Schizosaccharomyces pombe: one gene and its partners. The protein of the gene in region 3 binds, or shares a complex with, the protein of the main gene of each other region. Each region holds a gene or a part of one and is shown on either strand. Other genes may lie near its edges.

Region 1 (6,919 bases), 970 kb from region 3:
AGCTGTTAAATGTGTGTTTATGGGGGGCAGGTGTTTTAGACGATGATTCTGTATTGACATATTCCGTAGTAGAATCGTTTTCTTCTGTTTTAGTAATAGTATGAGTCACATTTAAAACACCAATATACTTTGGGATAAAGGGAAGCAATTCTGGATGGCAAGCTTCAATAGTTTCATAAAACGTATTTTCATTTCTTGTAAGTGGTTTGCAAACGGCTCTTTTAGAAAACCGGAAGAAAGCCGTATGTCCACCGACTTGATGTTTGAAGGGTTCCAATCGTACAGTAACCGGATAATCAACATTCCAATGGAAAAAAGGATGGTCTTCAGGAGGAGATGATGAGACAGATGATACAGATGATCGCGGGGTGGATGCAGGACTTTGATAAGAACGGGATACCGACCTTTCAAGCTCAAACGAAGCATCAGGTAGTAAAGGGAGGTGTTGAGATGACTTTTTAGAAGGATTATGTGGTATGTAGGTGGCTGTGGTTTTAGAACTACCACTATCTTTTCTTCGTTTAGGAGCTGAGCTCCGACCACGAGATGATCTTCGACTTAGTGATGTATCTTTTTCGGAAATAACTTCATCTAAATCATGCTGAGCACCAACACTTGGTGATCCAGATTTGGAGAGCCTTTCAGAAACAGATTCAAGAGGACTCGACACGTTGTGCAAAGCAGTATTAGTACTGTTACCGGTTTCTAAGTTATTGGAGGTAGAAGACTCAAAGAGACGTAATGACCTGCTTGCCTTTCGAGACGGATGAGCAGAATGAGCACTTGCCATATCATCAGCTTCAGAAACGGCTGAAGACTGCAGCACCGGTACTGGTGATTCAGCAACTGAATAAGAGGAACCACCTAATTGCAAGTCAGCTAGACTCTTGTGAATTGAATCACTCATATATTCAACAGGGGTGTGTGTTCTCAAAGGGGTTTGTTCTTGTGAATTACTTCTTGTTAAAATTAAGCGAGGGACATCTTCCAAGCTCGTAGTTCGAGGGTCTACAGCAGATGAATAGTTACTTAGCCTTCTAGGCGATAAACTGTCTAATGACTTAGGACCTATGGATTCAGAATGCATAGTAAAATTATTGTTATCTTCTGATTCATCGTACAAGCATTTTAACGTTTCAGGACCTCGATCATGAAAATTCACGTCTCTGCCTTTACGTGAATTCGGCAGGTAACACTTTGGTGCGTTCTGCATAAATTCATAAGTTTATCTCTATTAAATTAATATTTTTCCTTAATTCCCCTTCAATTCCTCCAATTTGTCCGATTTTTATTAGTTTACCTTTCGCAGAGACCCGCTTTGGTTCTTGGCAAGTTTCTTACTTTGCTCTAGCTTACAGTATAATGAGGCGTATAGTGAAACTACTTAAATTCATTATTGTCAGCAATACTACACTACGCTATGATACACTACGTTGCGTATCACTATATGTCATATGTTGGAATACTAGCTAAGATCCGTTTATTGATAATCACGGGTAACTATCCGTCTATATACGTAGATACCCGTTGATAACAACTATTTAGAAATATTATAAATAGCGTTACAACTGAACTGAGGAACGAGGTTCAGTTATGAGCTATATTAGTGATAGGTAACATTATAACCCAGTTAATACAATACCTATACTCAGTTGCTACTTATACAACCTGCGTATTGTAATATAATAGATCACAAGGAAAACTCACCGCAGTTCTACGTATCCTTAAATCAGATACCAAACTGCGTAGCTTACAATTATTCTACTCTAAAGATCCACATAATAATACACCGTATCTGTCATTAAATTACGCATTGTGTCAGCTATGCAATCATTAAAACACTTAATGATACTTTAGAACTGCGGTGGGTTTTCCTAATATAAAAAATAATGTTAAATAAAATTCTGTTTTCTATACAATAATAAATATATCAAAATATTAAGAGATATCGTATAGTATTATATGTGCACTAAAATAGTTTACAATCAGCTGAGGAGTACAAATCAAACTTCATCAATATTTTTCTAATTAAAGAATAAGTACTTTAGAAGCAACGTATGTTCACGGCCGAAAGAAATGTTGGTAAAACACAATTATAGGTATAGTGATTGTTAACGTATCGTAAGTATAACGCACTAGACGTTAATTATATATTTGTGCAGTACAATGGATACCCTTCTCTTAAATTTCAGAAGCAGAGATCAGAAATTTAACACCAATGTTTACCTCAAAAATATGCCGTCTATAGTAATAGGCAATATTACTTCGAAGAGTATTGTTTTTGGGGAAAAGGAAAAAGCTAGCGATGCCGCCCGTACGTGCTGAAAAAAAGCGGAAAACTGATTTGATTGAACAAGTTTGCGTTACAAATAAAGCAGGGGAATTAGTAGATTTAGAGGACGTTCTAGAATATGGCCCTTATTCATTAACAGGAATTTTATCTTCTGAAAAGGATGAGCAAGAACCATTGTTTGATGAGAGCATTGTTCTGGGATACTCGATAAAAATATCGCCTGTTTGGACATACAATCTAAAAGACGTTCCTGAGAAAGAAACTATGAGCATATGGATCGTTACACCTCAAAGAAGATACGGAATTTTGTCTCCTTCTTCTGAGTATAAAGCCATTTACGAACAGATCAGCGAGAAGAATCGATTGTTTTACCTTATTAAGACAAAATTCAAAGATGATATGATATCTGGTACGTTAGAAGATTACGATAATTATATCGAAGTTTTAAAGGAAAAGCTAGAGCTTCCTTCTTGTTTTCAAGCAATTCTCTTAGTGCAAAAACATATTCGCTTTCTGTTAACCCAAATGGTTGCGACTTCTTCATTACATGTATGGTCTGAATCACCTTTTTTTATAAGAATTCGATCTTCATACGAACATCTGATTTTACAAATTAATAAAAACATTTACAATGCTCGTCAAGAGCGAAAGAAATCAAAGTTATCGTCAAACAATCCATCGGACAATAATACTACTATGAAAAGCTCTTTAAACCAAGCTCTTACTTTAATTAATTTACCCGAGCAACCGTTTAGCATTTCCTCTCCCACAGCAACACCACAACTAGGAGTTGTAAAAAGAACTTCTCCATTACGGTTTCCTTTGAATGATATTTGGCTTTCCGGTTTAAGGATTGTTGATCCAAATATTGAATCGATATCATTATGGAAAAGAATACAAGTTTCAACCTCTCCGAAGCATCAACGTTATATTAGCCTTCAAGAAGTTTGCAGCGTTATTGCTCAACAGCTACAAATAACAAATTTGGAAGCTTTGAATAAACTTTCTTCCCACGGCGAAACCCTTTTGCAAATTATGCATACTGCTTTCACGTGGAGAGGTACTAAGCTTTTTAATGATATTAAGCACGCAATTGGTTTTAGATCTTCTGTTCAACAAGCACGATCTCAATTCCGTGGATATTGTTATGATTATTTATTCATGCATTGTAACAATGGAGAAAAAACAAGTCTACATCTCTTGAGGACTCTAATATGCATGAAACTAGATTTCTCAAATGCTCAATTGGCGGCCAAGATATTATTTCATTTCTTGTTATTTGATATTGGATCAGGCCTTTCTGGCTCAGATTATACATATGAACAATACATTAATCACTCAGCTGTCGCTTTCAGTTTTACGGAGGAAATTTTTGAAAAAAATTTTGTTACAGTTCTTCCTGACTTTGTTAAACTTTTTTCTATTTCTTTTGGTTATTGGCCTGCATTCAGCTTCTATGATGAATTATTGAAATTACTTCGCAACAAATATCCCAAAGTATATTCATCAACTCCAAATTTATGCGATCAGGTATGGCTGGATCGAACAAATTTATTCCCTTGTAATAGGTCAACGAGGTCGACTTTACCGTATAGACCTACAAAACTGCTCGATTTAGCTTCCGCATCTTCCTGCTTATCCAAAAAGGAAACAGATTTTAAACAAGACACTGGATTATATTCATATAACTTGGAGAAAGTTGAGGCTTTAAAAGTTAGTCCGGATTTACAGACTGGTATTTGGTCATGTCCAGTACAAAATTGTTTGTATTTTGCTGTTTGTGACAACCCGTATAAACCTTCTCAGGTCATTTACGATCATCTTTTAGGACATGTAGATTCCAAGTTTATATTTAAAACTCCTTCGAACAGTGTCCGATCGTTTACAAATAAACTTGAACACATAATGTACAACATAAATTAATGATAGATATGATGATTTTTACTAGTAATTAACAAAAGACACACTGCATTAAAGTTAATATATAGTATGTTTATAAAGGATTACAATTTTACATGGCTAATGTCAAATACACTTTACTTTACAAATATCATGTGTTCATAAACAATTTCAAAAACACATTTTGTAACAACAATTTGATACGCTTATAAATGTGCCTATTAAAGTGTACAAATAGCTGAATTATTTGTCAAATGTAATATAGGACGATCAAACAAAATCAAACACCAACCCTTTACAATTGTAAAGTTAATGGCCGTTCAAAATACCAGAACCCATTTTTGATAATAACTGAGACCAAGCGATAAAATAAAAACAGAGGAATGTAAACGCCAAGAACTACTAAATGTTCATGCGTAAGGAAAACGAGCAAAAAACGAGTATTTATTTTAGAAAAGAGCAATACTATTAAAAAATTGTTCCAGAAAATACGGACCATACGCGACGATTACCCATCTTTTTGGTTTTGTAAACGTAAATAGAATCATCTAATCATGAATCAGTAGGAGCAAACATGAGTATGATGAGGCTCACTTCTTTGACATAAAAAAATTAATGTGATAGGATAATATCCTAAATTCGATCCCACTCATAGATAGAAGAAAGTGTAATTTCAACTCTAATACAAGAATGGAGCCAAAGTAAACAAAGGAATGTACAAATAGGCAAGATCCTGTGAAAGAAAAGTACCTGTAAAATAAGGATTTTATGATATAAAAGGACAAGGTTGACAAATTAAATCAAATCATAAAAAAATTAAAAAATAAAACAACATTTTCATTTTTTTTTAAGAAACACGCAGTATTTTGGCTTAATAAATCTTTTTCTTTTCATCAACGGAAAACTTGCCCGGTCCAGTGTTGACGAGATATAGGAGACCACCAACAATAGACAAGGTTTGGAAAAAGTCGTAACGATAAAAGTCACGATAGGGACTTTCACGAGGAACCGACCAGAAGCTGTTGATAATGAAATTGGCAACAGATAGAATAAGAACGAGGACTGCAGCGAAGAATTTAGCCTTAAAACCAATGACCACCATGGCACAGGCTGTAACAGACAAAATATGAACTAGAATTCGAGTCCAAGAAATCCCACTTCCTTCCTTAGCCAAAAGACCCAAAAACATAAAGATCAAAAGAACACGCCCAGCTAGTTGGAAATAAGTACGTTTATTGTGTTCGGAGACGGCCGGTAAACCTGCAAATCTATTGATACGACGATGAATAAAGGTGTCACTGGCAACAAGGCATAATCCACCGATCACGCTCATGTTACGAAAGAACATTTCACCACTGGTGATGAGCCCATATGCAAACGCTTGTAAAAGTGTAACAAACAAAAGAGAGCCGATGGCATATGCCTGACGCTTTTTAAACACGACCAATGTCGAACCAACCAACATCAGTACAACACAAACAAACAGCAGCAACGGAGCAGTCCCAAAACGAAATCTGCGGTAGTCCCGCATATAAGATACTTGTTCAGGCCATTGAGTAACGATCCGAATAGCGTCTTCGAAATAAGTAGCGACAATTAGGAATCGACCCAAGAGCGGCATATACGGAGTAAATGGTGCCATGAACGTTTCAGCTTGCTCCATAAACTGACATGCTCGCTCTGAAAATGTCTTTTTTCTGATACCCACAGTAGTCCTTGTTTGATATGAATCCTGGTTCATAGAAAGCGGGATTGTCGAAAACGGCGAACGTGAAGTCATCTTTTCAGCTCGTATTAATTCGGGGTTTTTTTGGTGTCTATAAATATTTAATCCTTAAACTTCAAATATCTCTTAGAAATAACTTGATAAGGCCAACTTCCAGTTTCCTCAATTCAACCTCTTGTATGGAGAAGCGCAAGTTTGTCTCTTCCTTTGTTGCTCCTTATGGCCTGTTGGCATGCAGTCGTCATCCAGGGCAAACCAGAATTTCCTAAAAGGACAGCATTACAATTTGATGAATTTGGGATAATTTAAATAATTCTATGATCCTTATTTTTTTTATTTTTATTGAGATTCCTGAATATTCTTCAACCTCTACACTGATTTTTTATTTTAAGGCTCGCTATTAAGCGCAAATTGGTTTAGTGTAGTCTAAGAAATTATTACCTCTTGCAGTGAGTTAAAGAATGGGATATTTAGGAGAGCCAAAGACTTATGAAAGCTGCTTTGTAATGATTTTTAAAGCTTGAAAATATAGGTTTAAATTTTAGAAACTATATTTGGATGGCGTTCGGATGTAGTTTGAAAATTAACATGAGTCGTTAATTGATCACATTTATTGATGAAAAGCAAAAATAAATTAATAAAAGGCCCCATTTCCATATCACAAATGAATACTTTCAAGTTAGTGTCATAATTAAATGAATTTAGTGGAAGTTAAGTTTTATGTGTGTGATATTTACACTTGACATTACAAAAGCTATTACTTTCTTAGCAAGAGTCGTTGTAATGAACATTTGTAAAAACTTTATACAAACAAAATTTTAAAGAAGGGTATCGTATATAGGTCAAATACGTGAGTTAAGTTCAAATCTCAATATAGTCATTTGACGGCGAAAACAAACTTATTATCCGTGGAAATTTTGGTAAATCCTTTATAGCAACATCAATGTGAATATTAGCTTATTATTAAATTTATTTTATTTTTATTTTTTTCTTATTTTTTT
Region 2 (7,797 bases), 1.4 Mb from region 3:
CAATGATGTTGTTAAAAGTGGCATTGCAATGGCTAAGACTAAGTACTTGTCTGCTTTTGAACCTGTTACTTTGAACGCCATATCTGCTTCATCTTTAGTTTCTGCTTCAAAAGGATCTGATGCCTTTATTAGTGGTTTCGACAAGGTTACCCCCGCATCCATCTCTAAGGTGGTTTCATCTTTATTAGCCAAACCTGCTAGTACAGTTGCTGTGGGTAACCTTGACGTGCTCCCTTACTACGATGAGCTTTAGGATACTTCTCTACAAATCTTTTTTTTTATCGAAAATCTTTCTTTGAAAACTTTTTATACACCATAAGCTTAGGATGATGTTTTGAATTATTTTTTTTCGTAACATACTTCATTACTCAAATTCACAGTCCTGACGGATCGTCTTATGCTCTCCTTTAGGCAACAATGATTAATGTTATTTTCCAATGAATTAATACCAATAAATAATTTGGTAGTATTATTATGTATGATGACGATGTACTAATTTGTAAAGAAATTAAAAAATATATATTTATATATGCAATGCAACATTAAAATAATAGTTTCTCTCTTGAGATTTCATAAACAATAATGATAACTATCGCCATCAAGAGCGGTTAACTTATATTAACTTCAGATTTCTCATAAAACGGATTTTCGAAGACAGTATGTTATCGTCTTTATGCAAACATCATTTTTTAAAAATTAAATATGCAAGCCCATGGCATCTTATCTTAAAAATTTTACCTCACAAATCACCTAATTTGAATGCTTTGCTTTCGGTATGCTTTTTAATTCAACAATCACAAAGATTCAAGATTATTCAACATCAGGTAAACAAGAGTTATAAGTAGCTGGGTTGAACTCTTGAACGTTTCACTCCCAATAATTATATACATTTCCAATATAATAATACACGTGAATAAATAGTAAAAAAATATAAGCGATTAATTTTCGTCGAGTACTTTTCTGCCAGAATCGCTAATTAGGAAATCCAGAAAAAGGATACTCTCTGTCATACTCTGCCGATAGGCCGACCGCGCTAGCAAGTTTCTTCTTCATCCCAATAGTTTCGTTTACATGAAAAGTTACCCCATAGCCCTGTAAATATCGAGAACATTGACTCCTAGACAACCGATCTACATCTTGAACTGAAGTAATTGGAGGCAAATCAGGGTCCGGATTATTACCATTAATAAAGGGAACAGGCGAAATCACGTATGCACCCTTCCTAAGATCTCTATTTTCCGCACGAACTGAACGCATATCGAGAGTATTGACCTTATTTGTGAAATTAATCATATTTTCTTGCATGGTGTTCATGGTCCCTTGCATAGTGTTCATGGTCCCTTGCATAGTATTTATGGTTCTTTGTAAATCTGCCATACCGCTCATTAAAAAGTTGAGAGTCCTATTCTGCTCCTCGCGGTCTCTTTGGTACCAAAGTGGCGGTTGAACTTGGCTTTCTCTCTCAATTTCCAACGCGGTCCACTCATCCACTCGACGTTGAAACCTTTTTACGCGCTCATTTGTACGAATCTCCTCTTCATTCAGGTGAGTTTTGTTCTCAAGGGCCCTTCCCTCACTCTCTAATATTCTATTTCTCGCTTCTATTCTTCTTTTCTCGAATTCAACTCGAAAGTCGTTTAAAAATCTATTTCCCTCCTTTGAAGAGGATTCAGTTGGTGGAGGAATATTAAATTCATTAGAAAATTCCTCGTTCAATTCACTTTCAGTATTAGGCATAATTTATTGTTTACAAATTAATATTGTTTAGTAGTAACGCGAATAGCAAGCTGGGTGCAGCCAAGTGTAGTGGTACATGAATATGTAAACACCAAAGCTGTAAACAAAAAAGCTTCCGGTAGTTGTTCATCATTTTTTTAAATTGAAAAGGTGAGTTGATGATTAAATTATGGTTTTTGTTAACGGCATGTTTTCAAGTTAACTAATTACGTTTGCTTGAAGAGTTAATTCAACATTCCATAAAAAATCTCCATTTCTGTTAACATTAAGAGTTTCGGGTCTAAGCTAAACTTAAATTTATCTATGTTTGATATTTTAATTTAATTTGTAACACATTTTTCATCCTTTAACCGTGAAAGCTCATTTGTTTGTTACTATGTTTTGCTTTTGAGTTATCAAACCAGTCAGTTGATCATTAAAGAAACATATTAGATATTATTAAAATTTTCTTGCTGTAAACGTCAATTCAATAATCAGCTTGACTTTACCTTCACTGAGATTAAGGTTTAATTTTCCATTATCCTTTAGAATCATTGCAAAATTTTTGGCCTTCTTCAGTTCTTAAATATTTCTCGGATCGATCGCTGTCTTTAATTTTCTTGCCAGTTCACCCACGAAAAGGAATTCGATTAAATATTCATACTAGCTGAGCATTATTTCTTTTATACCTTCTCTGTATCCTAGTCGTCTAATAAAGAAAATTTTTCTTAGCGCGAATCTCCATTGACTGATCATCTTTACATATACCTTTTCGTATTTAAACCTCAATTCAGGTTAAAAGTCGATTTTCTATAATACGAAACTCTCCGAATTTATTACCATTGTCATTCCCCAAACTGTACATATTGACGTCCCCTCCAACACAACATACGGTTAGCTTTGAAGCATCCTCACTGAACCCTCCGTAAGTTATGGCTGAATTCATTTCCGTAAAATTTTGTATGAATGGATTGTTCAATCTCAAATCCCAAACCTTTACAATGCCATCACTGCCTCCGGTAACGAACAAATTCCCCTTAGGCTGCCATTGTGCCATATTTATACCTGCATCGACTTCCTCTTCATTAGCCCCGTCAAAATGTATCATTTTGGTTTTTCCATGCTTAAGCAAGCTAAGAGGTTTATCTGGTTTACGCGAATCCCAAACAAACGTCTGGTTATCTGTACCACTAGAAGTTACCAAGATTCCAGAGTTACTTATGGTGGCATGGTTAATGTCTTTTTGCGTTGTCGTAAAGTTGAGACAAACCTTATACATTCTTGTGTCTAAATAATATACTCTTCCATTGCTCAAAGTATTGCTACTTGCGACAAATCCAACTTGAGAAGGATGCATATATAAGGAGGTAAATGCTTCGTCAGCGGTGTTGAATTTTTGAACGAAGCTGGCAGTGGAAGCATCAAACAGAGCCAAACATCCTCTGTTATTAGAAGTATGAAAACTATCATATCCAATAATGACTTTGTCAGATGACCTTCCCAAAAAATTGGAAAATTCAATCAAAGATGCAGAGTACCCTTTTTCTAGAGCTTCTGGATAAATTAAATTAGCTGATGTGAGAATTTCTCCTGTTGAGTTGTCAGTGCTCAATAAATACCCATAACCATTTTTGCAAGCTACTGCAAGTAAATCGTCATCAGATAGAGCAAGCTTGTGAATATAGTCTGTGGGTGCATTAAAAATCCCACATAAATTTCCTTCCATATCCCAGACTTTCACAGCATTGTCGAATGCACCTGTATAAAGAAACAGATTACCCTTGGAAAAACACAAATCTGATATCGTAGAGTATTCCTTTTCTCCTACTTGATTAAGTTTATAATGGCTTTCCAATGACTGAATAGTTTCTGAGTGAAAATCACCAATCCATAAGTTGCCTAGTCTATTGTAAGCACCATCTTGTGCTGTGCTGCCTAAGGCAAATTTTTCGCACAATGGATTATATGCAACGCACACTGTATCCCCACTAGTTTCATTGAAATGTTTCCAAGGTTTTAAAAAGAAAACTGATTCCCCGTCCATAAGTTGATGAACTTGTTCTCTTTGGAAGTAAGATGAGCCTGCATTGTAAAAGGATTTTAAGTAATCTGGAAGTAATTTTTTATTCTTCTTGTATGTTCGTAAAATGATGGCCCCATGTTTGTCCACAGGAGACAAGCTGGGGTTATCAATTTCAAATTTCTGGCAATCTTCATATGCTCGTCCAGGAAGTTTTGGAGAAATGTGGGTCGAATAAGCATCATTGAACTGAACACTGTTTACCGGTCCAAATTTTAGTTTAGCTTCTTGTAAAATAAAGCATTCCTCTGGTGTAAAATCAACATGAATGAGTGATGGTTTATCATCGCCTGTAATGCTATTTGAAAGTAAATGAGTGTGTTTTCTCACTCTTTCACTCAAATAAGGACGTGAATTAGGTAAGAATGTCCCAGACGTTAGTAAAAGTTGCAATTCTAATCGTTTATTTACATTTGATGGAACTTTTGCAATTGAATGCTTCGATATTGATAATGACGGTTTCGGGCAAGGTAGCTCTGCGCGATAAAAAGGATCATAAATCTCAAATTCTTCCTCAAAAAATTCTTCGTTATTTGTGTCAAAGTCAACCTTGGGCAATTTAGAAGAGACGGAATGCAAATATTGCGTATCCGTTCTTCTTTTCACCCGTGGTGAACTATTAGTCATGCCATAAATAGGAAATTGTTTGAGAAATTATTGGGCTTTTTACTTTTAATCCTTCAGTGTGCAAGTTCACTAGTTTAACAGAAGTTATGGGTTGCTGAGTGAGTTTAAGGCACTGATTGATATAAAGAATTTACTAAGTCCAAAAAGTATAAAGACATTCCAAAATCGAAAATATTATATTAAAATTGAAGATATAATGATTATCTATTGAGTTACTATTATTACAAATTTATCAGTCAAAGGTAAGTTAATGACTTTACATTGAAGCGATAAAATCTTAACTATGTTTAATTTGTTTTAAAAAACTTTAACCGTTCTATTGACAACTCAATAATAAATTATATCCATTAATAGGAATCCCCAAAAAAATAAATAAACTTCCAAAACGCATATACTGACTTAGGGAATTACGGTCCAAAAAACTAGGATAACAAAAAAAATGCAAAGGGAGATATGGCAGGTATATAAAAAGGAAACGGCCAAAATTTGGGCTAATTTTAAAAAAACAAAATTCTAATTTGAGAACAAGAATTGCATATCCTCGACAGAAAGCTGGTTCAAAGCCTTTTCGTCTTGATCTATGGTTGCATGTATCATCTGAGCTTTCTTTTCTTGTAGTTCAATAATTTTGCTTTCAATGGAATTTTCAATACACAGGGTAATTACTTTTATCGGCCTTTTTTGTCCAATACGATGAATTCGATCCATTGCCTGCCACTGTACAGCTCCATTCCACCAAGGATCCATCATAAACACTTGAGATGCCTCTGTAAGGTTCAAAGCAACACCACCTGCTTTCAACGAAACTAGAAAAATGGTAATATTAATATCGTTACTGAAAGCCTCAATAGTAGCTGCTCTCGCTTTGGGGGTCATACCACCATCTAGCTTTACACAATTAAACCCGGCTTTTCGAAGTCGCCAATGAATGAGATCTAACATAGAAGTAAATTGAGAGAAAACAATCGACTTCAGTGTTCGGTCCTTCTTACGAAGTAAGTAAAGCTCCTCAACTAATGCTTCAATTTTTGTAGATGAACGCCAACTATTCATATCAATTCTATTCAAAATCGATGCATTCTTAAACTTCTCTTCAGAAAAATCTTCTAAAGCAGGGGCACTAAGATCTATGCTTAAGGGAATGAAACAACTTGGACAGTTGACATTTTCTCCATCACCAGCTGCATTGATATATTCCGTAACGCAGAGTCGACAAAATGTGTGATGGCAACGTGATTCTATAGCATCTTGAGCGACTTCGTCACAAATCTTACAGACGATATTTTCCTGATTTTCAATATCAACTGTTTTTCGTTTGCTAGCTAACACCAGGTCAGGATGATCTGCCATTTGGCGCATTCGTGTAATTAGCTGGAAAATGTTTGCATAATTATTCAAAACGACACCTTCAGCAAGATATGTATTAAATTTTCTTTTTGAATCCATATATAAAGATTGGTATACATCTTCCTCTTCTTCGTTGAATAAATCTTTCCTCACTTCAACGACTCGAGGAGGTAATCCAAGGTCATCAGCCCTCTCTAATTTTGTTCGACGTAACATAATGTGTTTTAATAAAGAATGCACCTTTTTAAAAGCTAGCTTTCCTGGACCTTCGTATCCAAACTTTTGTATTGGTTTTAGCATTTCAGCGTTAAAATAGCAAGTATGACTCATTGGTTTATGGCCGCATTCGTCGCAATTACTTCTATCGGAAAATCTCCAGTGCAGAGATTTACATTCACATTGCAAGCAATAGTAGTAAGCAAAAGGATCTGCCCGTAGGAACCGAAGAAGTGAAAATAATTCTCCAATACGGTTTTGCAAAGGTGTTCCTGAAAGACATATCTTTCTTGTCGTTCTTAAGCCACAAACAGCTCTGGCAGTGTTACAAGTCCTTGATTTGATACCATGGGCCTCATCAAGTATAATTCGGTAAAACTCCATTTGATGAAGTAATGACTTTTCTTTTACAACACCGTTTTTCCTTCTGAATCCGCTGCGTTCCTTCCTGTAAACTGATTCAATTACATTGTAACTCGTTAGTACAACATCATAGCTCGAAAGCTCTTCTCCTGAAATATCACGAGCCTGGCCATAATAAAGATATGTACTCAGTGCTTTATTGGTATGTGTATCAATCTCTTCTTTCCATTGCATAATTGCTACAACCGGAGCAACAACCAAGGTTGGCTTACCTCGAGGTTCTGAAAGCAACAACGCAATTGTTTGAATAGTCTTACCCATACCCATTTCATCGGCCAAGATTCCTCCACCAAAAGAGGAATCTTCTTGTCGTTTTAACCAATATACACCTTCTCGTTGAAAAGGGAGAAGGTTTAGGACCAACTCTTTGGGTTGCTCGATCTGTTTCACTTCACGAGGTGCTTCTTCTTCCAATTTCTCCCAAACATGTTCTAGTTCAGGATGTTGTCGAATCAGACGATAATGGGTTCTTTCATGTGATGGAATTGATTTTGCTTGTGTTCTAGAGGAAGAGGACGCGGAAGAAGAAGCCCTAGCGGATACCCTCCTTCGTTTGGACTGGTAACTTAAAGGGATTGACTCTTCATCACTTTCCGTAGAAGAACTTGGAGCAGCTTCTGGAATTTCTACTTTACTATCAAAAGTTTCATCCTCTTTGATATCAATTATGCTAGCAACTTCATCACTTTCATCATCATCAATAAATTCGGATTCATTAGATTCTTCTGGAGATGACAATGGCACAAACTTTTTTTTCAAATTCGAGGACCTTAATGAACGTTTTCTGGCACTAGAAAAACCTGTATTGGGATTTGCTTCTACATTGTCTGTGCTGCTACCGGTGTGTGTACTGGTATCAGAAATGGATAATGGGGGTGTCGAATGTTGAGATGAGGTGTTGTTTGACTGGATAATCAATTTTTTGTTTGTTGACAGAGGTTCTTCAAACTCTTTTCCGTTCCAGCGCGTTGTCTCCATATCTAACTTGTCGTCACGCTCGACTTGTTGATTTGAAGCATTCCCCTTTGAATCACCATTATCATCTAGAACAAAATGCATATTTTCTTTTCCCTTATTACTATTCGAGTTTATTTTATTACATGACGTCCCCATTTGTGAATGTAAATTGTTTTCAACCACTTCCTCATCTTCACTTTCTACAATAATGCCCGCAATGGGAGAAGATGACCATTCATCTTGATTGCCTGGTACATCATGAATGTTATTTATCTCTGAATAAGTAGTAGAAAATGGAGCCTGCCCATTACTTTGCTCATCATTATTGTCTGCTTGAAGAGACGCCTGAGTAGTATGGTTATTGCGAGTATTTTTCCAATTTATGGAATCAATTGTATCGTTTGAATTAATATCTACAGCTTCATTTTGTA
Region 3 (9,122 bases):
CACTCTTCGAATCAATGATCCCTAAATCGGTAATGAGACCTGAGACAAATTCGGGTGGTGTAACATCCAAAGTAGGATTATTTCGAATTTGTTCTTCATTCATGATCAGCTCGTTATGAATAGCATCTGATGGAGTTGGAATTGGTTCAGGTTCAGGATGAACAGTTTCAGGAGATGGATCATCAAATTCCAGAATAGGACGACTAAAGGGAATATCATATTGAGAAAGGGGAAACATACGCACGAATTTATGACTAAAAAACGTTAGTACAAATTTTAAAATTAACAGGGAAATGGAGAGATCATAGGGAAAAATAATTGTAAGCTGAATGGATTCAACGTTTACGTACCTTTCTGCAACTGCGTAAAAGGGCTTATGTGCATGTTTGGCAAAAACGGCAAGTTGGAAAGTACCGATTTGATTAATGAGTCCTCCGTTTTCGACAACACCTTCTGCGCCAACCAAGACCAAATCTACACGGTTCATAGTAAAGCTTACAGCGGAATCCAAAACCATGCAAGTAGGAATACAAGCATTTTTTAATGTTCTCGTCATTAGACAGCCTGAGCCGCTAGGTCTTGATTCTGTGACAAAAACTTTGAAACGAACGTGACGCTTGGCAGCAGCCAAAAGAACAGCCGCAACACCGCGTGAAAACCCATGGGTAAGAATAACACTACCATCTCGAATAAGAGGGTAACCTAAATGTGCAATTCTTTGTCGACAAGCACGAGCACGCTGAATAAAGAGTTTTCCATTTTCTACCAAGTGACGTTTGCATTGCTCAAAATCCTAAAGCCGTGGAGAATTAGTAAAGAAAAGAAAACTACTTTGCATCAACACATACCCCGACATCGTGTAGTGATCGAGTGACAAACCGTTGGAAAATGTCACAACCAGCTGAAAGCGAAATGTTGTTTTGAACGCCTTCCTTCAGCGTATTTGAGCCATTTTGTAAAATGTCCATAAATTCTGAAATTGTCTTGGCTAATAGAAAAACATCAGTAAATTCATTTCTCACATGAGTACTACAAATTAACATACCTTGAGAGCGCGACAAAAGCTGGACTAAAGCCTCAATGGCGGCTACAGGCATCGTGATTTCTGGATCATCTTGCAAAAATTTTTTGTAAACCTGGACGATGTCAAATTCTCCTTGAGAATGTCGAACGATTCCCGAAGAATCCGATTCCACCATATTCGCAGATGCTAGACGCTCTTGCTTAGTAGCAACATCTTTTCCATACTTTAAGGATATCCAACAAAATCAAATAACGGGCAATGCCTTTTTGTATTAAATTGTAAGCTACGCAATTTGGTATCTGATTTAAGGATACGTAGAACTGCGGTGAGTTTTCCTTGTGATCTATTATATTACAATACACAGGTTGTATAAGTAGCAACTGAGTATAGGTATTGTATTAACTGAGTTATAATGTTACCTATCACTAATATAGCTCATAACTGAACTGAGGAACGAGGTTCAGCAGTAGCTCTATTTATATTATTCAGATAATATAGATCTTAATAGATTATCATTAAGATCAATCTCAATATCGTATCATACATGGTACGATATATAATTAGAACATGTGACATATAGTGATACGCAACGTAGATGATGCGATGTCGAGATTGATATTGATAATACTATATTAACAGATAGATTATTTGGATAGAATCGATAGAGATACAACTAAACCTCATTTCGCAGTTCAGTTATAAGTGATAGGTGACATTATAACCTAAATAGTACAATACCAGTACTTAGTCATTACTTATATAACCCGGCTATTATAATATAATGGATCATATGCAAAATTCACCAGTTTTTCGTATCGTTAAAGCAGATACCAAACTGCGTAGCTGACATTATACGGCGTTTTGGATACTGATCTACAGATATGTTCCTATAGATATTTATGTAGGTGATTTGAATGGTATTTACATATAAATTGGTTTATTAAATAGCTTATATTTAATTAAAGCTAAATATTGAGAATAATTTTAATATCATATTCTTGACTGAGTACATCTGAGGATAATCATGAAATTCTTCCTCGGTGATCAGTAAACAATGCTTGACTGTTGATTTCCAATATGTAACGTTCAACGATACTTATCATTGTATAGATAGTGAATTTGTAGTATAATTTACTATGTTCCTAATAGTTGAGCGTATCATGAACGAAATATGTCAAAACGCTTCCATTTTAAAAAAAAAGGAGTACTGATGAAAGCAGTAATTGGATTTGGTAAAAAGTAATATAGAAAGTTTTTTAAAAAACTATTTTATGTTTAAGAGACCTTTCAAAAGTTCATGACCATTTCTACGAGAAACTAATCTTTAGTCCAACCTTCGTAAATCTCGCTTATATTAAGCTTGATTTTACTTCGGTATTTATGGATGACGCGAACACTAAACTGGTATAGAAAAAACGCTATTACTTTCAGCATCTAAAGAAAATCATTTATGATAATTTCTATGCTTTCAATTATATCTAAATATTTACATGCTCAATCATTCAAAGCGATGCTACAAAAATATTATGTTTTAGTTGTCGACTCGAATTTCAGTAAAATCCTAACTTTATTGCTAGACATCCGTAGGTTTTCATTTATGCTATAAATCTGTGAATCACCTCGTGATCGGCAAGTTGTTAAAATAATCTTTTAAGTAACTCTAATACCATGCACTATAGTAAAGAAGGTATATATTTCTTTGCGTGCCTAGTTCTTGTTTTCAATAGCAATAGTCGTTATCTCCCATAGCTTTTAATTCTGCTCATCGATGAGAGTAACATATTCCAATATCTTCTCTACATTATCAAATCGTTTTGCAATTATAAAAATATCAATAGCTTTCGATTTCCCCCAATATGGCTAATGCTAAAATTTATAACATTGATGTAGAATTTGGCTTAGTTAAGATGCAAGTTGAAAATGTCTTATGTTTTATGATTATCAGAAAATGTTTTGTGTAGTATCTGATATTAAAAAATGCATATCAACTTTTACAATAAATTCGCTTGCGCAAAATGTATAGAGACTGCATATCTCGTTTCTTCTCCCTGCGGAGTGCCTGTAACTGGCGTCTTGCACTTTCATTCAAAATCGAAATTTTTTGGTAAGGATTTGATAGAGATTGTCACTTGGTAGCATATTTTTTCTATCTTGAATTCCTTTTTCTAGGCTTTTGTGGCTCTTGGCCGTCCACTCTTTATTTTTGTATTCAACTGTTTTTTAATCACATAAGTCTAGTCATAATCTTTTGAACCAACTCAAAGCTTCTTTTTTTTATTTTTTTCTTTGTTAAAAAAAGTCTTTATTCCTTTTATTATATCAGTTTATGGATTTCATCGTGTATGGCTTTATGTGTTCATTCCTTCTGGGCAACGGCGGTAGACACAGCGACTTCATGTCATTTTATATCATCTGAAAACTGCTTAGTTTTATTACAAGCCTTAAAAATTAATATTTATCTCTGTAGTGAGGTTCATGGCTTACAATTCTTTACCTCTATCCCTTTATTTTCTACGGTGAAACATATACGCCCATATCGCCCTCCAGGATTAGATAGAGACTATTTATTTGTAGTTCTCAATGATGATACTTATTTTTCGATTTATTGGGACGAGGATTATCAAAAAGTGATCGTCGACCATCCTCCAGTTCGCTATCGAGTTACATTTCCTTGGAATCGCAACGCGAAAAGCTACTGCCTTGTCGACTTAAGGATGCGTGCTATTTTTTTAAGCATTGACGAAATTTCCATGATATGTATTAGAATCCTTTCTGCCGAAGAACGGTTGAAAACTGGCCGTTCTATAGATAGCGGATTTCCTTTTTCTTTTCCAGTGCATCTCATATATGATATGTGCATTCTCAATGATTCCAGTACCCCAACTCTTGTGGTCCTTCACAGCGATGGCTTAGATTGTTATGTAACAGCTTTTCTTTTAGATTTAAGCTCAAAAAGTTTGGGAAAGGGGATTAGACTATTTGAGCGGGTTAAACCGTCAATGATCATGCCCTTTGGAAAAAGAGGTTTGCTGGTTTTTGAGAGTTTGTTTATTCATTGCATGTATCGCGGTAATTTTGTTACAATCAATGGTCCTTGTACTACTTATATGCATTGGACTCCTTTGAAAGGGCAAAAGATGCATTATATTGTTTGTGATACTAATGGATATCTTTTCGGAGTATATTCGAGTATCTTGGGAAAAAACAAATGGAGCTTGGTTATGGAAAGACTACCAATCCCACCTTTCGACTTTATTACTTCTCTAAATTCCATCCATGAGGGACTCTTGTTTATCGGAAGCAAAAATTCGGAATCTAAACTTATTAACCTGTCTACTTTGAAGGATGTTGACTCAATACCCAACTTAGGACCCATTCATGATTTACTAGTACTCAAAAACGACATTGAAAAAAGTTTCCTTGTATGCGCAGGAACACCAAGAAACGCTTCTTTAATTTATTTTCAACATGCTCTGAAATTAGATATTTTAGGGCAGACGAAAATCTCGGGCATCCTTCGAGCTATGGTCCTACCATCATATCCAGAGCATAAGCTCTTCCTCGGGTTTCCTAGTGAAACTGTTGCTTTTAATATCAAAGAAGATTTCCAGTTAGAGCTAGACCCATCTCTATCAACCAAAGAAAGGACGATTGCGCTTTCAGGGACGAATGGTGAGTTTGTACAAGTCACATCTACTTTTCTTTGTATCTACGATTCTGCAAAGCGCTCTCGTTTAGTTTATATTGAAAAAATCACGAACGCTGCTTGCTATCAAGAATACTCCGCAATCGTTATCAATGGAACAGCATTGGCAATATTTAAAAAAGATACAGAAGTTGCACGAAAAGTTTTTGAAAGTGAAATTTCTTGCCTTGATTTTTCAGCGCAATTTCAAATAGGAGTTGGATTTTGGTCTAAGCAGGTGATGATACTTACATTCTCAGATAATTCGTCAATTAGCTGCGCCTTTCAAACCAACGTTCCATCATTGCCCAGAAATATTATTTTAGAAGGAGTTGGTGTTGACAGAAATCTTCTTTTAGTTTCTAGCGGAAGTGGTGAATTTAAATCTTATGTACTTTTCAAAAATAATCTGGTATTCTCTGAAACAAAACATTTCGGTACAACCCCTGTATCGTTTAGGAGATTTACGATGAATATTGGTACCTATATCATATGCAACAATGACTGTCCACACATGGTATATGGGTTTAATGGAGCACTATGTTATATGCCGCTTAGTATGCCTCAAAGTTATGATGTGTGTCAGTTTCGTGATAACTCAGGGAAGGATTTTCTCATTTCTGTATCATTAGGGGGCTTGAAATTCCTTCAACTTAATCCATTGCCAGAATTGACCCCAAGAAAAGTACTTTTGGAGCATGTTCCGTTACAAGCCATTATTTTTCAAAATAAACTGTTGCTTAGAACACTCGAGAATAGATATGAAGATTACGAAAGTTACAAGGAAAATTATCACTTGGAGTTGGTCGATAGTTATGATGATAATTCGTTCAGGGTTTTTTCTTTTACCGAAAATGAACGTTGTGAGAAAGTTTTGAAGATTAATGAGAGTTCTTTACTTGTAGGAACAAGCATTATAGAACAAGATAAGTTGGTGCCGGTAAATGGAAGATTAATTTTGTTAGAGTTTGAAAAGGAGCTTCAGTCTTTGAAGGTAGTTTCGTCTATGGTACTATCTGCGGCCGTGATAGATCTGGGGGTATATAATGATCGATACATCGTTGCATTTGGGCAACAAGTTGCAATCGTTAAACTTACCGAGGAAAGGCTTATGATAGATTCTAGGATATCACTAGGTTCTATAGTTTTACAACTCATCGTAGAGGGTAACGAGATTGCTATAGCGGACAGTATTGGACGTTTTACGATTATGTACTTCGATGGCCAAAAGTTTATTGTCGTTGCCAGATACCTTTTTGGAGAAAACATTGTGAAAGCAGCATTATATGAAGGAACAGTTTATATAATAGCAACTAATAGTGGCTTGCTAAAACTTCTTCGTTATAACAAAGATGCAAAAAACTTTAATGACAGATTCATTTGTGAAAGTGTGTACCATCTGCATGATAAAGTTAGCAAATTTCAAAATTTCCCAATAACAAATACCAATTCGTTTTTAGAGCCAAAAATGCTTTTTGCAACGGAAATTGGTGCTATTGGGAGTATAGTATCATTAAAAGATAAGGAGCTAGAACTGGAGGAACTTACAAGAAAAATTCGAAAATTAAAATTTTCATACTTGTCATCTATGGACTACGAAAGTATAGAAGCAGACCTCATTTCTCCAGTCCCGTTTATTGATGGAGACTTGGTTATCGATGTCAAAAGATGGGCATCTTCAGAACTTTTCCGATTATGCAGAAGTGTAGAACATAGGGAATCACTCAATTCTTACCAAAAAGTTCAAGCCCTCCTTGAGGAAATACAAAGTTTATGTTAAACGTATTATTGCCTTTTTGCTCTGAGTTATTATCTTACACTTTATGGATCATTGCAAATTTGGAAGTTTGGTTCTAGGACTGTATTATGCATTTGTGAGTAATACAAAAAAAATCTTTTGATTTATAATTATAAGTCACAAGCTGTCGCAACATGGCACTGATAAATACAAGTACATAAAGCTTGGTTAAAAAGTTATCAGTCTCAATTTCTTTCGTAAAATCTTCTTCGAAATTCAAGATATTTGTCATAATTGTTGCATCGCTCATCTATCTAAGACGAGATGACATATATTCTGGATTTCAATAATTAAAATGAAACTATTAAATTTCATATGACAGAAACTGAGCACTTCAACTGGCATAAAAGCTCAAAGGAATTTTTTAAGCTAAAAAATTAAAAAAAAACTTTCTCCATTTGGCGATCACGTGTTGCCAAGTATTTTTGGAGTGTAATTAAACTGGAGAAACTCTAGTGTAATTTCTCTATAGGAAGCTAGGGTCAGAGGAAATTAGGATCTTAAAAATTGTTAGTAGAATAAAACATGAACTAAATGCTTACCTTTGGCAAGCCACTTTTTGATTTGATCTTCAGTTTATGGTCTTTACAGGGGATGGTTTTCTGAGTAAGAATATCTGTAAAACTTGAAGGCACTTCTTTCCAGTGTTCTTTCAAATCTATTTCAACTTTAAACGACGAGGTAGAGCCTTCATTGCTTATGGCTATAATGACTCCTGGACGAGTAAATACATAAACTGAATCGTCAATGTATAGTTGAAAAGATAGCACGTATGTAAACTCTGGGTAGGTCTCAACCAAATTTTGACGCGTGCGTATCATTGAAGAAAGATGTCTAAACATTGGATTGGAAGTATTGTATTTACTTTTCCAAAGACCTTCTCTGTTGTCAGGATCGCTACCACCGTCAAACATCTGTTCTTGTCCATAATAGATAATTGGAATACCGTCCATGAAAATAAGTGCAGTTAATGCGTTAAGAGCCAGCTAAATAAATGTTAAAATATATAAAAAATGCAGGTACTAAATTGAAATATTGTTCAATAGACTTACGGCGATGTCTTTGGTTTCATGAAAAAAGCGAGGAAAATCATGATTTTCCAAAAAGTTACACAAGACGGTAACATCTTTGAAGTAATGTCGAACATCAAGTACGGCCTTATCATAAAATGAAAACATAGAATGTTTGGGGTCAAGAAAGGTTTCCCGCAATTGAAAAAATAAAGGGAAATTTAAAGTCGAAGGGAGATATTTTTGATAATCCCCGACGACTTTAGGATCTCCATGAAAAACTTCTCCTGTAGTAAATACATTAGCTGCTTCAATAAATGTTGGGAAGAAGGATTTTTCGACATGTTTGGCTGTGTCCAATCTGATACCATCAAATTGATAACGTTTAATTAGATCAGAAACCCAATTTTGAAAAAATTTGCGAACTTCATTCTTTTCGGTTCGAATGTCTGGTAGGTTCACATGTGAATCTCCTAACCAACCTGTAATTGTCTCATGGGGATCATCGTAATTTTGTACAAACTGCCAGTTGTGATAATACTTCCCAGAGTTAAATGGTTGATAAAGTAAGAAGTTTACGGGTTTGCTTCCGGCATGACCCATATGGTTGACAACTATGTCAACCATGCAAAGCATATTTTTCTCATGAATTGCATTGACTAGTTCTTTCAAATCTTCTTCTGTCCCAAAATTCTCGTTTAACTGAGTCATATCTTGTGCCCAATACCCATGATATGCCTGACCACAATCCGTAGTCTCAGATATGTTTTTAACTATTGGGCTAATCCATATTGCCGTACATCCCAGACTTTTAATGTAATCAAGGTTACGAGTAATACCCTTCCATGTACCCCCAAGGTAAAGATTTCCGCTAGCTTTTGCATAAAAATTATCCTCATCCAAAGCAAATCTGTCCGTTAATACCTGGTATATAACTTGCTTTCGCCATAATTTAAGGTAGGAAGGTTCTTTTTTCGGCAGAATGGAGCAGATTAGATTCATAGTCCCTTTTCGTCAAGTAAACAACATTCACTGGTAACTGTCTCGTTTACAATGCAGCTTTAAATCAAGCCTTCAGCTACGCCTTCGTCTGGATCGCTTCTTCAGCCTTGCTTACTGATCAACAAAGAGTCTTCTTCTCGAAATCTTCCCTTTCAGTACAAATTTAAAAAAGTATCCGAGATTCGTACAGAATTTGTTTTACTTTTCAAAAAGGGACGTTTGCTAAAACCGACACTCTCACTTAAAGGTTATAGTCTTTTGGCTGCTTTTATTAAGAGCCAAAAATATAGTAAGAATATTGAAATACAGAGGGTCTTAAATACTCCGCCTTTCGGTTCCGACGATTGCGGCTTTTTTTTTTTAATTTCAACGCTTTTCGGCTTTTGTTTACATTCAACTTGTACTAAACAAAACAAGTTAACACATTATAAGGCATGCATCGTTAAGTAAATAGTAACGATGGTAGTTGGAAAAGGTGTATGTGCTGGGTTTGTTGACATTTCAAACCTACTGCAAATGCGCATGTAAAGCAGAGAAAAACAGTGTTTTATACTGCGTAAATATTCTTAAACTCGCTTGTAGTTTGTTAACTGACATTATATT
Region 4 (7,676 bases), on a different chromosome or scaffold from region 3:
TTTGTCGGCATCGACGTCTGTACATTCAGCCTCGTAAAATTTAACATAGCAGGACTTATGACGGAGCATATAACGAATGGGCTGTACAATGCTTCGAGTATGAACGGAACCAGTGGCAGTAGAAGGCAAAAGAGAAGTGAACAAGAAATAGTTTCTAGGGGAAACAACGATAACGTTAAAGAGAGAAGTATCAATAGTACGAAGAATAGAAGTGGCACCCCAACCAGCACCAAGGACGACCAAAGTCTTTTTGGAAGGATCGGGCAAAGGTTGATGAGGATCAGGATGACGGAAACGGTAGACATTGGCACCATAAAGAACAACAGCCGTAGCGAAAAGACCTAATGTAGTACGTTTCAGGATCTTCCACTTACTTGTGGTGCTCTTGGGAGAAGAAGCAGCATCGGAAGCAAAGCGCACGCTGTTTGCAAGGCGAAGATTGCGAGAAGCCGATAAAGCTAAGGGAGATTTTGGAATGCCAGCCTTTGGCATTCCTCGGAGAATAGACCGAGAAAAAAGCATACTAACAAGCAACTACTAGAAAACTTCGAGAGAAACAAAAAAAGATGCTAACTTATTATGTGATAAAAATACACAAAGAAGAGGGGAGAGAGAGGGGGGTAATAAGTTATCCACAAACACAATCAAGGAAAGTTAAAAAAATTGTGGATATCAACTGTTTGCTTGAAAAGCCTTAAGAGGGGAGATTTTTAAAAGATGAAGAAATGGGTCTTTATTTTAACAACAAAGAAAATATATCAGGGGTAAAATAATATTCGGTCAGTTGAAGAAATGGATAGGATCAACAGAGGCCGCAAAGACTGAATAATTAAGTTGAGTTGGGAGGGGGTGGTTAAAGTGACTCCGAAGAGAAGCAAACTACAAAGAAAAAGAAAAAAAAATATAATAAACCAAGTACAACACTTACGGCGTACTCAGCTATGTAAGTGTGCTCCTTTTATACACTCGACGATTGCGCAGATAAGCGTCGATTTAATAAAACGTATTTTCCAAAGGCTGATATGATATCCTTGTAGGTAATCAATCAGTACAGCCAAATGGTAAAAAATGAGCGGTAGGTGTAATGGTAGTTGTCAAAGTCGGACAGGGTATTTTAACGACAATTTAATACACGAGCGAGACTATTTTGATAAATTGTACGGGCGGATCCGTTTGCGGACTTTTAATGATGACTCCCGTAACGCTGACGACATGTATCTGCACAGCGATTCATGGCCCGCCTCTGTGAAAGAGGGAGCGACCATTCAGCGATTCCAGCCGCGTCCGCTACAACATACCGGACATTGTTGTTTCTTGACTTCGATTAGCAATGTAAATAAATAGAGACGCTCAAAAACACCTACAAAACCGATAGTTTCAAAAACTCATATACAGTTGCTTCACCTCAAAAAAGGTTCTACCTTTAGTCATGGTCACAGGGGATTGTGGGGTGCAACTTTTTCACAAACTCTATGCATGCGCAGCGGCGTAACCGAAAATTCCCTCATTGCATCTAGAGGAGCCATGTCATTATAAAGAGACGTATAACGTGATCTAACACCAAGCTCGCAAAATCTGACAGCAAAAAATACCAACCGCGTTATCTAATAATACAGTAATACACTTTAGACAACGTTAATGAAGACAGGACGCGCGCGCATCGCTTTTGATTTGTGTTTAGTCTGTTAGAAGCATGCTGGGGTAGATGTGTAGGTGAGAAGCTAGGTTATATAATCAAAGAAGATCAAGCAAACTAGAATCAATGGTAAATTCCTTCTCGTTTTAACTATGTCACTCCATTCTTATGAGGGAATTCGTGACGGACAAAACAGAAGATACCGTTTATTTGCTTTCACCTAGAACTGATCAAGAAGCTTAGAGAATCAATAACGCTAAATGTCCCAATTTCCTACGCCAAATACTTCAACTTATTCAATTTATTGCTTACATAGGAGTGTTTTGATGTTGGTTCTGAATACATCCAAACAAACACGTGTTTCAGCTACATCTACATCAAGTAACACACACATCACTGTCACTTAGAGATGTAAATAATGAATAATATAAGAGGTGTTTATGGGCAGGAAAACCAAAATAGAATACCTTGGGCTTTACAAAATTAATTAGATTTATTAAATTTTTACTTTAGATTTTGTAAATAAAGGTGTTCTATAAGTGTGATAAGCAGCACCACATTCCATCCATGTTAATCCTTACATTGGAAAATGCGGTACTTAGCGCGAACACTTTCGTAGAAGGCAAAAATGCAAGGTACAATTTTAGAATGAACTTTGGAATTGTTCCTTTTCCAAACTGATTGGAGAGCAGTGCAGACTTCCTTGAATTGGTTTCCAGATTTCAATAGCATTACTTGACACGGACAGGTAAAGAGGTGTGTGTATGAACGACATATGAGAATAGAGAAAAAAAATCCACTGGAGATTCACCAGCAAATAACAAAAAGGATGGAAAAAGAATAAACATATAACCAGAAAAATTAAATTAAATCAATTAAAAAACAAATGCATACTCTATTAGGTGACATATGTATAAATATCATTATCCTCGCGTTCTAGATACTCTTTCTCTAGTAGTTTTTCAATGGCAGTTTTCACATCAGACACCAAGGGTATTCCCCGATCCTTAACATTGTTTATAACGTATTGAACTAAATCGTCATGCTTCATTTTTTCCTTTTGTTTCATTACTCGAACGATACTGGCTTGCAACTCAAACTGTCGATCTCTCACTACTTGTTCTTGAACATCAGAATTTTCTTGCCGCTCTTCCTTTAAATAAATTTGGTTAATTTTTACACGATATAACTTATCTGTAAACTTTTCATTAACATAAAACATGGTGTCTGGACTGGGTTTTTTGCTTTTGGGAACCATCACTAATGGCCGAATGCGAGCACAACTCAAGGACTGTAATGTACGAGTCAAATCGATATCAGAGAGCTCTGTAGATTTTTTCAAATCTTGATACGAAATCCCTTCTCCACCCAAACAATTGTTGAATTGAAGTAAGACACAGGCTTGGAAAAGCGATATACTTAGTTCCTTATTGCCCAGTGGAAATCGGGCTTTTACGATGCAATGTCCTAGCGAAGCGTACCAACTGATTTTTTTCCCAACCTGCTTTGAAAGGTAAAATTTTTCAAAACAATCCAAATCCTGTTGCATATCATCTGGAAGCCGGATATGTGATTCTGGATAAGAGGGCCAGTAAGCTTGGGACAAGACGTTAACATACAAATCTCTATGAAGGTTATGAGCAGCCTTTGAGTGACGAAAAGAAGAAGTAAATTCTTTTGAAATGTTAACGTCTCGAAACATACCCTCCAAAGAGTGAGTAAACTGACTACCGCAGGTTTTCTTAAGCATATCCAGAAGCATTAATTCATTTTGCGCACTTGCAGATTTATTAAGGAGAAGCCGTTTTGCAATGTCCAGCTTGTAATACGCCTCAAAGATATCTTTACTAGCGATGTAGCGGAAAAGATCCAAAATTTCCGAAAATACTTCTTTCAGAGGCTTACCCCCTGAAGCCTGTTCGCCAACTCGTAGCAAATAATCAATGTATTTTGCAATAAGCCTAGCTGGAGCTTCTCTTTGAGATCCCTTTGCCCCATTAATGAACGTCTCGAAGGCTTTTCGCATGGCATACGAAAGGGTTTCATCATGAAGGAAACTTTCATCCACCACGACTTGTAAGAATTTGTGGAACGATAACAGCTCTTGAACCAAAGTATCATCCTTTGATTCATCGTTAACGAGCTTGAAACCAACGTCCACTAAGCAATCCGACCAGGGCTGAATTAAATATTCGGTTTCATGATTGAATTGCAGTAATGCATACAGTAGTTTACAAGAATGGGCATCCCTTTTTTCAATGAACTGACTTATACCCTTTGTGAGTGTGTCAAGATGTGAAGTAATTAGACACCTTTGAACAGTCTCTCGAATGGACTTTTTATCGCGCACAATATCAAACTTTTCAACGTAGGCATCCTCCCGCTCAAGCGAACTCATCGCATATTCCAAGTACTCTTCCAAAGGCAGCTCTTGAATTTTTTGGCTAGACTCCGTATCATAAAAACGGCTTAGCATAACTAAGTACATGGGAACAAACACAGAGCTATACATTTCCGTGCGATGTAGCATTAACATCGCATCCTGTAAATAGGCGTGATCAGTGCTTTTAGAGCTATGTAAATTTTCAAAGCTTTGGAGAAGAGAGTTCAAAAAGGGAATTTGTATGTTTTTGACTGCCATCAACTTTTCACGAAAAAGTGACAGAGACAGCTCTTCGATTGTCGGGTAATCTGGATGGTGAGAAAGAAATGTTTTGTCCATGTAATAGAATATGTTTTGAACAATCTCGACTCTTTCCAACCATTTGTTCCAACACCCTACTACTACGGTGCATGCATTAGTGTCTGTTTCAGTCCCTTCAAGCTGTATAAAAGACTCCGCAGAATCCTTTAAAAGCTGGATTCCTGAAGACATATGATGTTGTAGGATGTTAAAGCACCGAGATGCTTGATCCGCTCTTGTTAAATTTTCGACTCCCGAATATAACTCTTGGTAACCTGTTTTTAAGCCTAAACCGGCCATCACTACTTGCAAAGCCATGTTCAAACGATCTATCATCGTCACATAGTAGGTCTCTTGTCTTTGCCTCGACTTTCGTGGGTCAAAGCCTTTAACCACGATACGTTTTGCTTCTGGAGGCATAGGTGTGCTAATGTGAAATAAAAAGTAATAAATAGATGTGTGGAAAGCCTGAGCTCTTTCACTACTATAGTTTCACCTGCAAAAACCAATTTTGTGCTCAAGTAGTGACGTTCAGAAAAGTCGGTTTAGAGCAGCACATATAGACAAGGTACGAAGTTCCTATTTCACTTTCAAGCTATTTTTTTGTGTCCATCTCACTAAATAAGCCTTTTTTTTCACTTTAGAAATTCTTCAGTTTTTTAGAGATTTTCAAGCTGCGACTCATTGCAATTAGCTAACTATTGTTTTCCATGTTTATCCTCCACTATCCACAACGAACGCCAGTTGTTGAAACAATTGGGTGCTTGAGTAAACTATTAGCTTCTCTATAGTTTCTATAAAGTTTTTTATTTGTCTTTTTGTTTATATAGGTTTGAAATTACAAGGTCAGGTTGACTTGGAAAGAGAATGGCATGGAGTCAAGTCGAGATTTCCAAACCACATCTAGCATATGCTATTATAGGAGGATTTACTTCATTATTTATGTTATGTTCTTTAATTATTAAGGAAAAGCTTTTTTTGGGCGAAGCAAGTAAGTTATTAGTGGTTGCAAAGCACAATTGTTTGATTTGCGTGTTGAAACGATACTTGAATTGTTTGATTTAGCTGGTAGTAATTCCAGATTATTCTTTCGGTTTACGTTCGTTAAATAAAGAGCGATCTCTAGATATTTCAGTGTGCATATTCCACCATATTATTTTTACTCTTCAATTCTTCATATATGTGAAGCATACTAACTTAATATAGCTATGGCAACTGCTACGGGTCTCATTTTTGGTCCTTACGTTGCAAAACTGTTTGTTCCCACCAGCTGGGGTAATACCGACTACATCACCGAGGAACTTGCTCGAGTCCTTTTAGTTGTCGAAGTTTTTGCAGCTGGCGCTGAACTTCCAAGAGCATATATGCTTCGACATTGGCGCAGTATGTTTGTTATGCTTTTGCCTGTTATGATTTTTGGATGGCTAGTAAGTACTGGCTTCATGTATGCTTTAATTCCCAGACTCTCTTTTCTGGAGTCATTAGCTATAGCGGCATGTATTACTGCGACAGATCCAGTGTTGGCTTCTTCTATTGTCGGTAAAGGTAAATTTGCACGTCGAGTCCCAGGTCATCTTAGGAACATGCTTTTGGCCGAATCTGGATGTAATGATGGCATGGCAATTCCTTTTCTGTATTTAGCTATTTATTTAATTATTGAGAAACCTGCCCGACATGCTGGCCGCGATTGGGTATGTATCATTATTTTATACGAATGCACCTTTGGCTGTGTGCTAGGTGCAATAATAGGTGTAATAGCCCGTAAGATGATTAAATTTTCGGAACGTCGAGGATTAATGGATCGTGAAAGTTTTCTTGTATTCTACTTCGTTTTAGCACTATTTTGTGGTGGTATTGGTACCATCATTGGTGTCGATGATTTGTTAGTTTCTTTTTGTGCTGGTGCTGCTTTCTCTTGGGACTCATGGTTTTCGAAAAAAACAGAAGAATCTCATGTTTCCAACGTTATCGACCTTCTTCTCAATCTTTCCTTTTTTGTATACGTGGGTGCTATCATGCCCTGGCCTCAATTTCACATGCCACATATGGATTTGAGTGTATGGCGACTCGTTGTATTGGCTATATGTATTTTAATTGCAAGGAGAATTCCTGCCGTTTTATTATTTAAATCATTTGTTCCTGATATTATCAATTGGCGAGAAGCTCTCTTTGCTGGTCATTTTGGTCCTATTGGTGTAGGTGCACTGTATACTTGTTTGGTTGCACGAGCCGAATTAGAAGTACATAGCACTGTACCTGAGCCTAATGATGCTATCGAAAACCCTGAAATTCCAAACTGGTATTGCATACAAGTAATGTGGCCAGTAGTTTGTTTCCTGGTTCTAAGTTCTATCATTGTTCATGGAAGCAGTATTGCATTTTTCATGCTTGGTAAAAGGATTAATACGTTGGCTTTGTCGTTTACGAGAACAAGGGACTCTCATTTTGCTTTTAACTTACCTCGTGTTCGTCAAGGACAAAGCTTACCAATTAAAAGAGTTGATGCGTTGCGCTCCTCTGCCAACTCTATTGCTTCTTCCATAAGAAGGCGTCATCCTGTAAACATTCAAGAAGATGAGGATGCTGATATATCAACTGTCTCGCTTCCTGAAGCCGCACATCTACGGGAAGAACGTGCTGAATCACCACGCGGAGGCCACTATGACGCTGAAGAATTTCCTTCTGAAGACTATGAATCTCGGCAACCTCGCCGCTCGAATGAGGAAGATAGAGAAGAAGAAATGAATCCTGGTGACGAGACATATCTTATTGGCGAAGACTTGGTCGTTGAAGATTCTCAAGGAAACATTATTTCGCATACCAGTTCTCGAGATGCAAATGGACCTTCAATTGATGAAAAACTCGCTCAAGGGGATCCGAAGGCAAAAAGTTTTGGTCGCAAGTTTCGCAGTTTCTTACGACGTTCCTATGATACTTTTCAACGTAATTTACATGAGCCGGACGACGAAAGACAAAGGGAACCCACTCTTGGACATATTGAGAGTTCTATTGAGAATCATAGGCCTAGATACTCAAGGCAAAATTCGGAATCTCATTTGCGTGAAAATAGTGTAGAACGCCGTCGTCGTGAACAAGTTCTTACTAATATTGGGGACAGTGAAAGTGAGGATGATAACATACCCAGGCCTGGTATAGTTCCATTTTACAACGAGAACAATGAAAGCAGTAGTGATACGAGAAATGGACTCTTATCTGACAATGTTTCCGAATCGCGCAGTCGTCGACCATCGCGTGCTCCTTCTGCCGCAGTTAGCAGTGAGGGTTCTCCGGTTGAAGAAGATAATGAAGCTCAGCATAGGCCAAATATTCGATTTTTGGAACTTACCCGTGCCTGGG

The links.
Region 1: rik1 (region 3) and raf2 share a complex: the UniProt entries of both Schizosaccharomyces pombe proteins name them as parts of the clr4 methyltransferase complex.
Region 2: rik1 (region 3) and raf1 share a complex: the UniProt entries of both Schizosaccharomyces pombe proteins name them as parts of the clr4 methyltransferase complex.
Region 4: rik1 (region 3) and cul4 share a complex: the UniProt entries of both Schizosaccharomyces pombe proteins name them as parts of the clr4 methyltransferase complex.

The regions. Positions count from the first base shown.
Region 1 is NC_003421.2:498,554-505,472, forward strand, and holds raf2 (CLRC ubiquitin ligase complex subunit Raf2), read left to right. Parts: upstream 1-2,211; 5' UTR 2,212-2,305; coding exon 2,306-4,216; 3' UTR 4,217-4,327; downstream 4,328-6,919. Other genes in the region: kcs1 (inositol polyphosphate kinase), read right to left, coding at 1-1,213; erv29 (cargo receptor protein), read right to left, coding at 5,064-5,972. UniProt on the Schizosaccharomyces pombe protein: Component of the Clr4 methyltransferase complex (ClrC) which contributes to the establishment of heterochromatin by specifically methylating histone H3 to form H3K9me.
Region 2 is NC_003421.2:97,749-105,545, forward strand, and holds raf1 (CLRC ubiquitin ligase complex WD repeat subunit Raf1/Dos1), read right to left. Parts: upstream 4,517-7,797; 5' UTR 4,424-4,516; coding exon 2,507-4,423; 3' UTR 1,968-2,506; downstream 1-1,967. Other genes in the region: ubiquinol-cytochrome-c reductase complex core protein Qcr2, read left to right, coding at 1-253; protein meu23, read right to left, coding at 973-1,737; rhp16 (ATP-dependent helicase), read right to left, coding at 4,937-7,797. UniProt on the Schizosaccharomyces pombe protein: Component of the Clr4 methyltransferase complex (ClrC) which contributes to the establishment of heterochromatin by specifically methylating histone H3 to form H3K9me.
Region 3 is NC_003421.2:1,464,808-1,473,929, forward strand, and holds rik1 (CLRC ubiquitin ligase complex WD repeat protein Rik1), read left to right. Parts: upstream 1-3,074; 5' UTR 3,075-3,366; coding exon 3,367-6,489; 3' UTR 6,490-6,973; coding exon of another isoform or gene 6,974-7,006; 3' UTR 7,007-7,049; downstream 7,050-9,122. Other genes in the region: translation initiation factor eIF2B alpha subunit Gcn3, read right to left, coding at 1-254, 351-793, 849-988, 1,046-1,199; SPOM_SPCC11E10.09C (alpha-amylase-like protein), read right to left, coding at 6,974-7,006, 7,050-7,493, 7,560-8,519. UniProt on the Schizosaccharomyces pombe protein: Component of the Clr4 methyltransferase complex (ClrC) which contributes to the establishment of heterochromatin by specifically methylating histone H3 to form H3K9me.
Region 4 is NC_003424.3:3,450,119-3,457,794, reverse strand, and holds cul4 (CLRC complex subunit, cullin 4), read right to left. Parts: upstream 4,851-7,676; 5' UTR 4,740-4,850; coding exon 2,535-4,739; 3' UTR 2,048-2,534; downstream 1-2,047. Other genes in the region: nde1 (NADH dehydrogenase), read right to left, coding at 1-522. UniProt on the Schizosaccharomyces pombe protein: Required, indirectly, for activation of ribonucleotide reductase through the degradation of the protein spd1, thereby supplying deoxyribonucleotides for DNA replication and repair. Also has a role as a scaffold for assembling ubiquitin ligases.